2 linked regions of the Arabidopsis thaliana genome follow. The protein of the gene in region 1 interacts with the protein of each later gene in a pairwise test. Each region holds a gene or a part of one and is shown on either strand. Other genes may lie near its edges.

Region 1 (6,432 bases):
TGGCTCAGGAGTTCTTGATAGACTTCTTGAAATTCAGAAGCTAGACAAATTAGACATTGAAGGAGCGATTCATTCGTATTACGATTTAATCAACCAGCCTTGTCCTATATGTAAAGAAGGTAAGCCACTGGAGGCGGAATTGTCTCTACATGCTTTACCTTTAGATGAAAGCTTGAAGATTGTGAAGGAGTATTTGATAGCTGCAACTGCCAAAGACTGTAGTATTATGATCAGTTTTCAATCAAGGAATGCTTGGGATTCAGAACCCTCGGGTGATTACGTCTCTCTAAAACCGACCAATCAAACGTTTGATTACAAGGTATGATCCATTTTAACACATTCTTGTCTTATATGGTGAAAGAACTATTAATAATATTTGCTGAGATCATTGGTACAATTCTCTAAAAATAAAATGTGGGATCCGCGAATCATTATAAGAACAGAAATTTCCTTAGAAAACGTTGAGTTCTCAGGAACCATATAATCGGTTTCTTCATTTTGTTATATTTGTTTGATATTTGATTTATGTAACTGTAGGTACATTTCATTGATCTAAGCCTGAAACCACTTAAGAGAATGGAGTCATACTACAAATTGGATAAGAAGATAATTAGCTTTTACAATCGGAAGCAGAAAGCCGAAAACACGGCAGAACAAATCGGCAACTCAAAACCTTCCCACAGCTAAGTCATGTATCGTCTCAATACCACTAGCTCTCTTTTTTTTGGTTACTGTTGTTGTAGAACATAATAAAGAAAGCCCTAAAAGATGAATGTTCATTTCTTAAACTTAAAATTTGTTGGAACTATATCTCCTTCACTCTATATCTCTTTCTCTCCCTGGTCTTCTCTCGGCATGGAGCCGTTGCCTGGAGATATTTTACTGTTCCAGAATGCTCTCTGTCAAGTTTTGCCAGAATTGCTTGTACATACAAAGATGGTGGAGCTTAGCCACTGTTGTTGCTCCTTCTATGGAAAATTTTGTCAGCGGTTTTCCGATATACTGTCTCCCCACTCTCTCACAAAAGATAGTATCTTTGGGGTGGCAGACCCATGGACCGTCCCTCCTCTCCCACTGAATCACAACCATGAGATCTCTTTGGCGGCATACTACAACACAACAAAAAGGATAAGTCATATAATCCCATCTACTTAAGTTTTAGCAAGTGATTGAACCAATTCCTAACATCTTTTGCGACACATTTACTTAATAAAACATTGAAAATGGTTTCCCGTAGCATCATGAACCATGCTCTGATACCACACTTGTAAATAATAACTTTTTGAGTTATCGAGAACAAAATCCATTAAACATGAAAAGTGGACACTAACAATAATAAAACTGACTAGGGCTTGGCATTCGAATACACGCTCCGATACGCTTCGGGTTTTTTGGGTTTAGGCTCATAGCACCCATTCGGGTATTTATAATATTTGGGTTAATATTTGGGTTGGGTTCGGTTTCTTCATTCAATCCACCCAAAAAAATCGTACAACATTTATCTCTTTCCCCGAACAATACAAAGTGTTTAAACCTTATAAGAAGACATTGCAAGGGACAATCATAAAGAACAATAACCAAGGGATCATTACCACATTAACTTAGAAAAACTGAACCCATCATTTGCCTCACGAACTAGTTTCTAAACAAAAATTCTACAAAATACAGTAAACACCTTACATCATCTAAGGAGTTCATGCCACTCATTTTTCAAGTTCAAAAAAAGAACACCAAATGAATATCCATTACAAGATTTTACCGATTTTTATGAAGTAATCAGCCCAAACGATACCCTTAAACTCCCTCATCACGTTCTCGGTTCCATTGCTCAATTCTCGCCCTCCTTTCCTCGCTTCCTTCTCTCACATTTCGTGGGCTTCTGCTCCGTTTCGGGCTTCCATGTCTCCTCCTTCCACCACCATCCCGATCATGCCTCTCTGATCTATCACTGCTCCTTTTCCCATTTCCATGCCGGTCACGGTCCCTAACGTCCCCTCTCTCTCGCTCTCGCGAATGCTCTCTCTTACGTCGAGGGCTTATACTCCTGCTTCGACTTCTGCTTCCCCGACGGTATGAACGACGATACCTCCCAAACAATTTCCTCCTAAGCTCCCTCGAAATCTGCTTCACATGCATGAAATTACAGTACCCACCACGGTTACAGCTGTTTTCTTCATACTGCCTACAAGTAGCTTCCCTAAAATCCGTCACAGGAGAGAAATCAGCAATGATAGGACGACCGGAATAAAATCTCCCCTGCAAAGCCTGCAACGCAGCAGCTGCGTGATCCTCCTCCTTAAACAGAACATACACATTCCCAATCATATGATCAGCAAGATTGTCACAAACATTGAGACTCTCCACTTCACCAAACTTGTTGAGTTCTTCGAAAATATCTTCGTAGAAATCCTCAAAGTGGTCTTGGATCTTACTCGGGTCTAACGGCTGTCCCTGAGGATCCACACCTGGAGTTATCATGTCAGGTCTCTGGTACATGTTCGAGAGGAGAAGCGTCGGCGAGATGGTGGGACGGTTATGAAGCCGTGAGCACCGGTCACCGTGACGACAAGCACCAATCTTAAAGTAAAACGGACAATTCACTCTATCCTTTTCAGTACCAAAGATTGAAGCTAAATGCTCTGCCATTCTCACCTAAACATAACAAAAATCAAATTCAACTAAACACAAATTGTTCTTCTACGCTTATATGATAAATCAAATCACTACAAGAACGATTCAGAATCAGAGACGAGAACCAAATCTAAGCTTATAAACGAGAGTTAACACAAAATCAAAGAGAATCAAATCAATGAACGAATCAGAATCATGAATCGTTGTCAAATCTAAAACAGATCGAGACGTTTCTAGTCATCGAGTGGAGATGAGAATCCGAAACGGAGAGAGAGATTGATTAGAGGAAGAAGAATACCGAAGAGGATTTTCTTTTAGTGGAAGAGAAGCTATCGCCGACGAGGAGGTGCCGTTGCCGATCACGATCTAGGGTTTAGGTTTATTTGATTAGCGACTCGTGTGAGCCGGAGAGAGAGAGAGAGTGTGGTGAAAAAAAGAGAAAGAGATATTAATATGGGTTTATTTTGCAAATAAACTATTCTACAAGGAGGAATAATAAAATAAACTATAGAAAGTTACAATATTGGTCCTCGTCAAAATCGTCATAACATAACGAGGATTTTAAGATTGATCCTTTTGTTGCTCCGGCTCAGAACCGAATAAACCAAACTAAACTGAACTGGATTGGAAGGAAACGAACAGAACTAGATAATTAATATCTGAATGATTTTTTTAAAAAAATATGGGAATAAAAAGAGCTAAAGCTTCTCTCTCTCTTCTCTCTCACAAAACCTTCAGAGAGGGAAAGCTTTTTGTCTCCACCTACAAGAATTTTCCGATGATAGCCGTTCCAAATAATTTGGGCTTTTGCCCGGTATCTTCTAGCTCTTTTAGTGGAGATGACCGGTTCCCGTACGGCAAATCCTGCTTTCATAAGAGGTTTTGGCCGCTTGTATCCTTGCTCGTAGTCAATCAGTTTTATGCTGATTGCTTTGATATTTTAGTTTTGTTTTTCAATAAATCTCAACAGATTTGAGATGGTAATTAGTTTTAGGTGCTAGTTACTTAAGATTAATTTCTGTCTTGTGTCTTTAGAAACTTCGATTTGCAGAAATCTATCAAGCGATTATGTCTTCGGGTTGAAAGATTGAAGAATATTCCGATGCTTATTATGATTCCTTTTTGCTGTGTCTTTTAAATGGAGCACCGTTCAGTTTTATTTCGGTGGTTACAAGGATTCATTGTGCGATGTTTCGGCGATGCATTCCTCACCGGATTCGGTGTTCATCGGCGGCGAAGGTTGATGTCGGTACACTTCCGATGACTCTTCATCTTGTGTTGCAGTTGTAATATCACGTGGACACGTGTATTGGATAGAGTCCAAATGTCAAAACATCTTTATGCCGTAGATGTTAATCTTATGGGCTATGTTGGGCCTAACTTTTCTTTCTGCACATATCGTTGTAAGCTTTAATGCTTTGTTTCCTCTTTTGGTGGTTAATATAATACACTTATGAGAAGAAAAAAAAAAAATATGGGAATAAAATTAAAAATAAATTAAAAATCTAGTGAATGTCAGACTTATCTGAAATACAATTATATATCTAAAATGTTATTCTTAATTATATTTCAAATAATCAAGATAGCCAAATTTATAATTTATAATTTAAAGATATTAGTTATGTTTACACTCAAAATAACCAAACTATCTGAAATAACTGAAATATCTGAATGTTTTTAGAATACTTGAAATATTTAACCAAATTATATTTGTCAAATTAAATACTTGAATACAATCTCCAAATAATTGAATACTTAAATACAATTTTCAAATGAGGTTTTTTTTTATATGAAATGTTAAATTTATTTGATCAATGGTAAAATGAGGTTATTTACAAAATGAGTAAAATAAAAAATGGAAAATCTATGAAATTCTGTTTGAACAAAATAGTTAGAGAGTCATTAATTTTAACCTCCACATGTTCAGGATGCCCTCTAACAGCAGCTTTCATTGGTAAAGAAAGTATTGCTCATTTAAGGTTCTTACGAGTATGTTGTTAAACATTTTTGTTTCGTACATATCCCTAGACTTAAATTTAGGTGATCAATCTACTTTTAACATTAAAAAACCTAGATGTAAAATCAAATAAGTATCCGTGGTTAAATATATTTACCCGATCATTCCATAAGTTTTTATCGAACCCTTAAATTCAATAATGTAACTAGTGACACATACCAAAAAACGGTCACACAAGATCTTATAAATTTAAGAGATATTATTAGAATAAGTAAAATTTATACGAAAAGTGAAAATAGATATTTAAAAATTAAATCATATGAGAACTAATACGCAATTGCACCATTAAACCATTCTTCTTAATTTTGAAAGTCATTTTCCTCGATGTATACTTAACTAAGTGTTTTATTTTCTCCCTCTTAGTATGTGTATATATATAGTACGGTGTTGTCATCTTCATCGATCAACTTCAATAATAAATTTTAGTACATCCTTAGCTAAACCAGTACTATACCAAAATTCAAGAGTCAATTTTTTTGCTTTTTTAAATAGAAGAAAATTTTATATATTTCTTTGTTTACATGAATAATTTCTAACAATCCCATTAACTTTGACTAGTAAGAATTAATTTGAATAATAATAGTATATATACATATATATATAAATATATATTTGTTTGTTTACGTGAATAATTTCTAACAATCCCATTAACTTTGACTAGTAAGAATTAATTTGAAAAACAATAATATATATATATTAAAAGTTATACTAAAACTTTTAATATTTGTAGGAATGCCCTACAGATATAAAACATTTATGCCCTTTATTTGTTTTTTGCATAATCAAAAAATTAATAGTATATAAAAGTTATACTAAAACTTTATAGATTTTTTTTTTTGAACTTTATAAGCATTTTGTAAGCAAAAAAATAGGAAAAAAAAACAAAATTATATTTTTTAAATATACCTCTATTTAGATTTTTACCTCCAAAACCATTCATCAAATTCACGTAATCGAGTTTTTCAAACATAATTGTCTTAATGGATAGCAAAGCCAACTCATTTATTTGATTAATAAAAACAAAGTTTTTATTTTGTAATCAAAGTTCAAGCACCTTACATTAGAAAGTCTTTGACTTTTTTTTTGTAATCAAAATTTTAGAGTTTAAGGTTTTATTTTTCTTAAATCTAAAATTTTACTAAACTAAATTCATTAATAAGACATTTTATTAATTTAAAAAGATGAAAAAAAGATAGTAAATGAAAAGTTTAACAAATATAAATATATAGAAAAATGCTTATAATTGATTTTTTTTATAACATAAAAGTCTTAAAACTTTTTTATAAAAATATGCTCCTCTACTATAATGTCCTAAGCCGTGGCTTCACTTGATTGTGTAGAATGTCGAACCTGGCTACGAAGCACCTAATAATGTTAGACATTTTGACGTGGTAGGAGTTGTGAAACGTCTGACTTTTTCTTCAGGCATTGGTATTCCTAAAAATTATACATGTGGCCGCAAAACTGCACTTGTTCCGCCCAGAGTATACAACACTTGCTAAAGATGTAAGTGAGTTTAGTTTAAATTAATTTTATATCGTGTGAACTAAGATATCTTAAAAATAATTATTTCAGTGAATTCCATCCTTTTTTTTAAGAAATTTATCGTGGGTCAAAATATATGAGCTCTTTTTACAAGGGAGTAATAGATGTGATGGTTTGTAAGACTAGAATAGCGAAAGGGGAGTTTGTTGCGTTCGTGAAGTTGCCTTGCTCAAAAGTGGAATCTCTATATGTCTCATTAGACATTTTGCTAATCCAAGCGAAACGAAAGGTGCGTGGTG
Region 2 (5,744 bases), on another chromosome or scaffold:
CAATGAAAATTTATAAAAACTTCAAAAGTGGAAGCCTTTCACTGGAGGCCAATGGACTGATTCTATCGGCTTTGCCAAACTATTCTACAACAGGTTAATCATTTGGAGAAGAAAGTAATTTAGTGGTTATTTCACATATATACCACCATTCATCAATATAACTTCTATGTTACGTTTCCGTTCATAAAGATATGTGAAAACGAAGTTCCTGTAAATGAATGATTAAGTTAAGAAATTTATTCGCTAAATCTATAAATTCATCTGATCAACATTGTTGTCTACGCAATTGTTGTTCATTAAATCTTTACGGTCACAAAAATAACAACCTCATGATATGTTAGAAAAACTTTAATCATACACTTGCAAAAAAAAGTGAAGCAAAATCTACCATAAATATGCAATTGTGCAGTGGTCTTCTCCTCTTAATTTTGTTTGAAGTACGTATATTCGAAACTTTATTTCGATTATAATTTTTCGTACGATTCTTTATAAGTAAAGCAAAATAATGATGGATTGAAGAATCTTGAAAATGGAAAGAAATGGACGAGAGGCTTTTGACCATTTGTATGGCCAGAATAACAACACTCACTACCAAATACAATAACGTGATTTTGTTTAATAGATTAGATGCGGTAGGAATATATTATTCTTCGTGAACTAAAACCATGTTTTATAACGACAAAAAAAAACCCATGTTTTATAAGTTTATGGGCCAAAATTGGGCTTTTGTATTATAAACATGTTTACGGAAGTATTCAGCTAAGTATATATAAAAAAAAACAATTACACTAATTTATTTAAATTTTATTATTACCTACTTACAATTAGTAAAATTTAAAATTAACAAAAAAAAAACTTTTACTTACTTTTAGTTATTGTTTTAAGAAAAAACATCATTAATTACCCTACTTTTTTTTTTAATACTAGGAGGTTCTAAGCCAAAACATCTTAATTATTATATTGTTTATATGTCTAATAATATCCATAAATGTATTAAAAAAACTTAAAACATAAACTAAAGGGTAATAGATCATAATATTATTGAATGGAGTAAGAAAATGTATAAATTATAATTCAAAAAGAGAACTATAATCTGCTTTTCTACCCAAATGAAGTAAAATAAGACATCAATTTGCATTTCAATGGTCAGTTTTAAAGGTAAAATTAAAGACGTTAAACACGTGTAATGTAAAAGAGATCACTCATGAGTCATGACCAACCATATTCTTAGTTTATATAAGTAATTCACACCCCTTAAAAAGAAATATAGTCTATAATCAATCATACTTAGCATGAAAACGATGATCAAGTTTCTGCTGTTAATACTGGTGATCTCTCCTATGTCGATATGCGCCGAGAAGGACATGATGATAAATGAATGCCACAATGCAGACGTCCCAGCCATATGCATGCAATGTCTTGAATCCGACCCAAACTCCATTCACGCCGACCATATAGGCATAGCTGGCATCGTCATAAACTGTCTTGAATCCCACCTCCATATCATCACCAAGCAAGTTTTCACTTACAAATTATAACCAATATACAGAAATATCCTCTAATATATCAATTTTTTCATTTGTGTAGTAACATAACGAATTTATCGTCAAAGAAAGATAAAGGTGAAGTGAAAACAGCTCTGGAGATTTGCAAAAAAGACTTGTCGACGAATGCATCTACAATACTGTCGGAAGCCAAAACAAGTTTGAAAACCGGTGATTATGATAAAACCAACAAATCGATAAAGCTTGCGCTTGGCTTTCCTCTGAGATGTATGTTCAATCTCAAACGTGTCAAGTTCACGTCTCCCCAACTATTTAGTCAAATCAATATCTATGCTCAACTCTCTGACGCTGCTATGAGGATCATTGATCGCTTCTAATAAGTAATAACTCCTTATTGTTTTCTATATAACTCAACTTCGATCAATGCTTACCCCAATTTGAATAAATCATTTCCTTTATGAAATTTATAAAGTCACATATATCCATTTGTTGTAGCTCTCATGTTTTTTTTTTCTTTTCAAATTTGTCAAAATAAGTTTTCGTTTGAACCATCATTCAATATAAATCTAAATGATATATTGTCTTTTTTTTTTTTTTTTTTTTGGCAAAGAATGATATATTGTCTATTTCATCAAAGTTGGACCACTATACGATAAATTGTTGTTCTTATAACGTTAAAGTAGGAAAACAGTTCAGTTTTCACGTGACTAACTTACTACTATTGGAATATTTATCATAAACTTTAATTCACGAAAATCATTAATGAAAATTTGATATTACTACTATAATATCGTCTTCTCTATTAATTTAGAATCTTATTCATCCTTTTCCACTTGTCTTCTCTAACCCTCTAAATTCTCTTTGGTCGGGATCACTGGAAAGAAATGTATAATCTCACTTTCTCTCCATCATTGTCCTCTTCTTTGCTCTCTTTTACACAACAAACTCCTGCAGCCATAGTGTCCTCTTCTCCTCCGGATTTAGTACTTCAACAAAAACTCCGGTTTGTCGTGGAAACCTCACCGGACCGATGGGCTTATGTCATTTTTTGGCAAAAGATGTTTGATGATCAATCGGACCGGTCTTACTTGGTTTGGGTTGATGGTCATTTCTGTGGAAACAAGAACAACAATTCCCAAGAAAATGTTCATTTTTCTTTGCCTCTTATGTTATCTAATCAAAATATCCAAAATTTATTTAAATCAACTTCTTAAAAAAGTTCTATTAAGAAAATAATATAATTTTCCTTACCCTTGATTTTTTGTTTTTGTTTCTTTCTTAAGTATACAACAAACAGCATCGAGTGTGAGCTGATGATGGACGGTGGAGATGATCTGGAGTTGTTCTATGCCGCATCGTTTTACGGTGAAGATAGATCGCCGAGAAAGGAAGTATCCGATGAATCTTTGGTTTGGTTAACCGGTCCCGACGAGCTCCGGTTTAGCAACTACGAGAGGGCTAAAGAAGCCGGTTTTCACGGGGTACACACATTGGTCTCCATACCCATCAACAATGGCATTATCGAACTTGGTTCGTCTGAATCAATTATACAAAACCGGAACTTTATAAACCGAGTCAAGTCCATATTCGGGTCGGGTAAAACAACAAAACACACTAACCAAACCGGTTCTTACCCTAAACCGGCGGTATCAGATCATTCGAAAAGCGGAAATCAGCAATTCGGGTCGGAAAGAAAACGGAGGAGGAAACTTGAGACGACAAGGGTAGCTGCGGCGACGAAAGAGAAACATCATCCGGCGGTTTTGTCCCACGTGGAAGCGGAGAAGCAACGGAGAGAGAAGCTAAACCACCGGTTTTACGCTCTACGTGCCATCGTACCAAAAGTGTCACGAATGGACAAAGCGTCACTTTTATCCGACGCAGTTTCGTACATAGAAAGTCTTAAATCCAAAATCGATGATCTCGAAACTGAGATCAAGAAAATGAAGATGACGGAGACAGATAAATTAGACAACAGCAGCAGCAATACGTCTCCGTCTTCCGTTGAGTACCAAGTTAACCAGAAACCTTCAAAATCAAACAGAGGCTCTGACTTGGAAGTGCAAGTGAAGATCGTCGGAGAAGAAGCCATAATTAGGGTTCAGACAGAGAATGTGAACCATCCTACGTCGGCATTGATGAGTGCGTTAATGGAAATGGATTGTCGTGTACAACACGCGAACGCGTCGCGCTTGAGTCAGGTTATGGTTCAAGATGTTGTTGTTTTGGTTCCAGAAGGATTAAGATCGGAAGATAGGCTTAGGACCACACTTGTCCGAACCCTAAGCCTATAACAATTTCTTTGTTTTGTGACGTCAACATAGGATGTGATAATAATTTTTGTTTTTTTTTGCGACCTTTTGTTTTATTTGATAAGTACTAGAAAAATCAAATTCCTTCTAGCGATTAATGTTGTTTTATCAAAAGTTTGATCTCGTTGATACGTAGTTTATGTGTTACTTTTTTACTTTATTTCTCGTACGTACGTACTAGCTCGCTAAAAGCGCAAAGTGTTTGGTATATTGTCTTACTAAAACAATATAGAGACTGTATATTTTAAAAGAAACAACTCATTAATTGATCATTTGGAAATATTAGTTTGAAAACCATAGAGAAGACGGAGGAATTATAGACACACACACGCTTGTCCTATAATATTTAGGACCACTCTTCAGTGATAGCTTGCTAACAAATCAAGTCAATTACGTAATGAACTACCAATGCTTTATATTAATTATTCTTGGACGTACTGTTATATTAAGACACTGATTGGTTAATTTGGGGAAAAAATATTAGTACAATGCACAGAAAAATAAAGGGTACAATAATGTTGAGAAAAAAAAGTGGTACAATAATGCAAAGAGAAGAAAAGGGTACAATAATGCAATTGAATTGTATCTTTCTTATTTTGTTTGCTAATTACTAATTGCAAAAAATGTTTTTGTGCTTGAAAAAGTAATCATTCTGTATCTAACATTCACATATAAAACAGAACTAAACAATTTTGCATTTACTTAATGAGACAAAAATGTTTTGTTTTATTTGATGATCATGGTTTTATGTTTTTCTAAAAGAAATTAAAATATGTTATGCAACAAACTATCATGTGTCTATGTATACATAACCTATGATACAATATAGTTTCGACCTTAAGATTAAGTTTCTTTGACAGAAAGTCAGAAACAGTTATCTTTCACATGATCCCTTCTTCAATCCTGCTGCAACGATGTAACGGTTATGCAAAAATTTACTGATAGGTAAATCACATGAAAAATGGCCACATGCAAAAATTATGCCCGGTTCCAACTTCTAGGTTAATATGGTACTCAACAACAAAAAAAAATATTAACAATAAATACGTGTTTGTCTTCTTCTTCTTTATAGATGTTTCACTTTATAAATAGACTGTAAGTTTTTAAAACGCAATAAGAAAAACAACTGAAATCATTTTAGAAATCTTATGCGTGCAGAATAAATATTGGTGTTATGTGCATTTGAAGCTTTAGGCTTTAGCACTTTCTAAAACCTCGTTTTGAGCAAAGTCATTCAAAAGGAACTCTTAATATTTTTACAAATTGAAATAGCAATTGTAATTTAATCAGTAAAACCTCTATAAATTATCATGTTTATTAATTTATAGAGACAATATTTGGGCTAAAATATCAATTTGAGAACGGAAGAAAATTATTAATTTAATGAGATATTAATTTATTGAATATTAATTTATAGATTTTTGACTGTATATATTCTAAGCTTTGTTTTAAGAAAATTTAATCCGTTTAAAAAGATTTATCTTCATTAACCCCAAAAGAAATGATTTGTTTTAGCTTGGCCAATAGTCATGTATGGCCCAATCTGGTATAAAATCTCATAAAAAGTTTTATCTTCATTAACCCAAAGAAATGATTTGTATTAAGATGGGCCAATAGTCAAGTGTGGCCCAATTAGGAGTAAAATCTCATAAACGAAATGGGCCCATAATGGCCCAATATTTGTACACCACAATCGGAAACCCCTTTTGGGTCATTTCAAGTTTGACGAGAAACGTAAATCGCTATTTCTTCTATTCCTCCCTAAAAATCTACCAACGAGATTCTTCTCGAAAATTTCCTGCGCCTCTCCGTGTCTGTGAAATCGATTCAGGTAAATCACTCTTCTCGAATCGATGCTTGTTTTGTGAAATACCGATTCTATCAGATCTATTTGATAAATTTGTTGTTGTTGTTAGTCGTCTGTGTA

Evidence for each region. Proteins that work in one complex are often made in the same cells at the same time.
Region 2: the proteins of U2AF35B (region 1) and AT4G00870 interact in binary tests that used the Arabidopsis thaliana proteins (3 or more experiments, as listed by UniProt).

The regions. Positions count from the first base shown.
Region 1 is NC_003076.8:17,168,651-17,175,082, forward strand, and holds U2AF35B (Zinc finger C-x8-C-x5-C-x3-H type family protein), read right to left. Parts: upstream 4,138-6,432; 5' UTR 3,608-4,137; coding exon of another isoform or gene 3,314-3,607; 5' UTR 2,930-3,313; intron 2,653-2,929; 5' UTR 2,647-2,652; coding exon 1,795-2,646; 3' UTR 1,441-1,794; downstream 1-1,440. Other genes in the region: IPK1 (inositol-pentakisphosphate 2-kinase 1), read left to right, coding at 1-319, 538-687; AT5G42825 (uncharacterized protein), read left to right, coding at 3,314-3,607. UniProt on the Arabidopsis thaliana protein: Necessary for the splicing of pre-mRNA. Probably active at the 3' splice sites.
Region 2 is NC_003075.7:360,285-366,028, reverse strand, and holds AT4G00870 (basic helix-loop-helix (bHLH) DNA-binding superfamily protein), read left to right. Parts: upstream 1-2,319; 5' UTR 2,320-2,389; coding exon 2,390-2,650; intron 2,651-2,788; coding exon 2,789-3,799; 3' UTR 3,800-4,096; downstream 4,097-5,744. Other genes in the region: AT4G00872 (Plant invertase/pectin methylesterase inhibitor superfamily protein), read left to right, coding at 1,293-1,513, 1,588-1,882.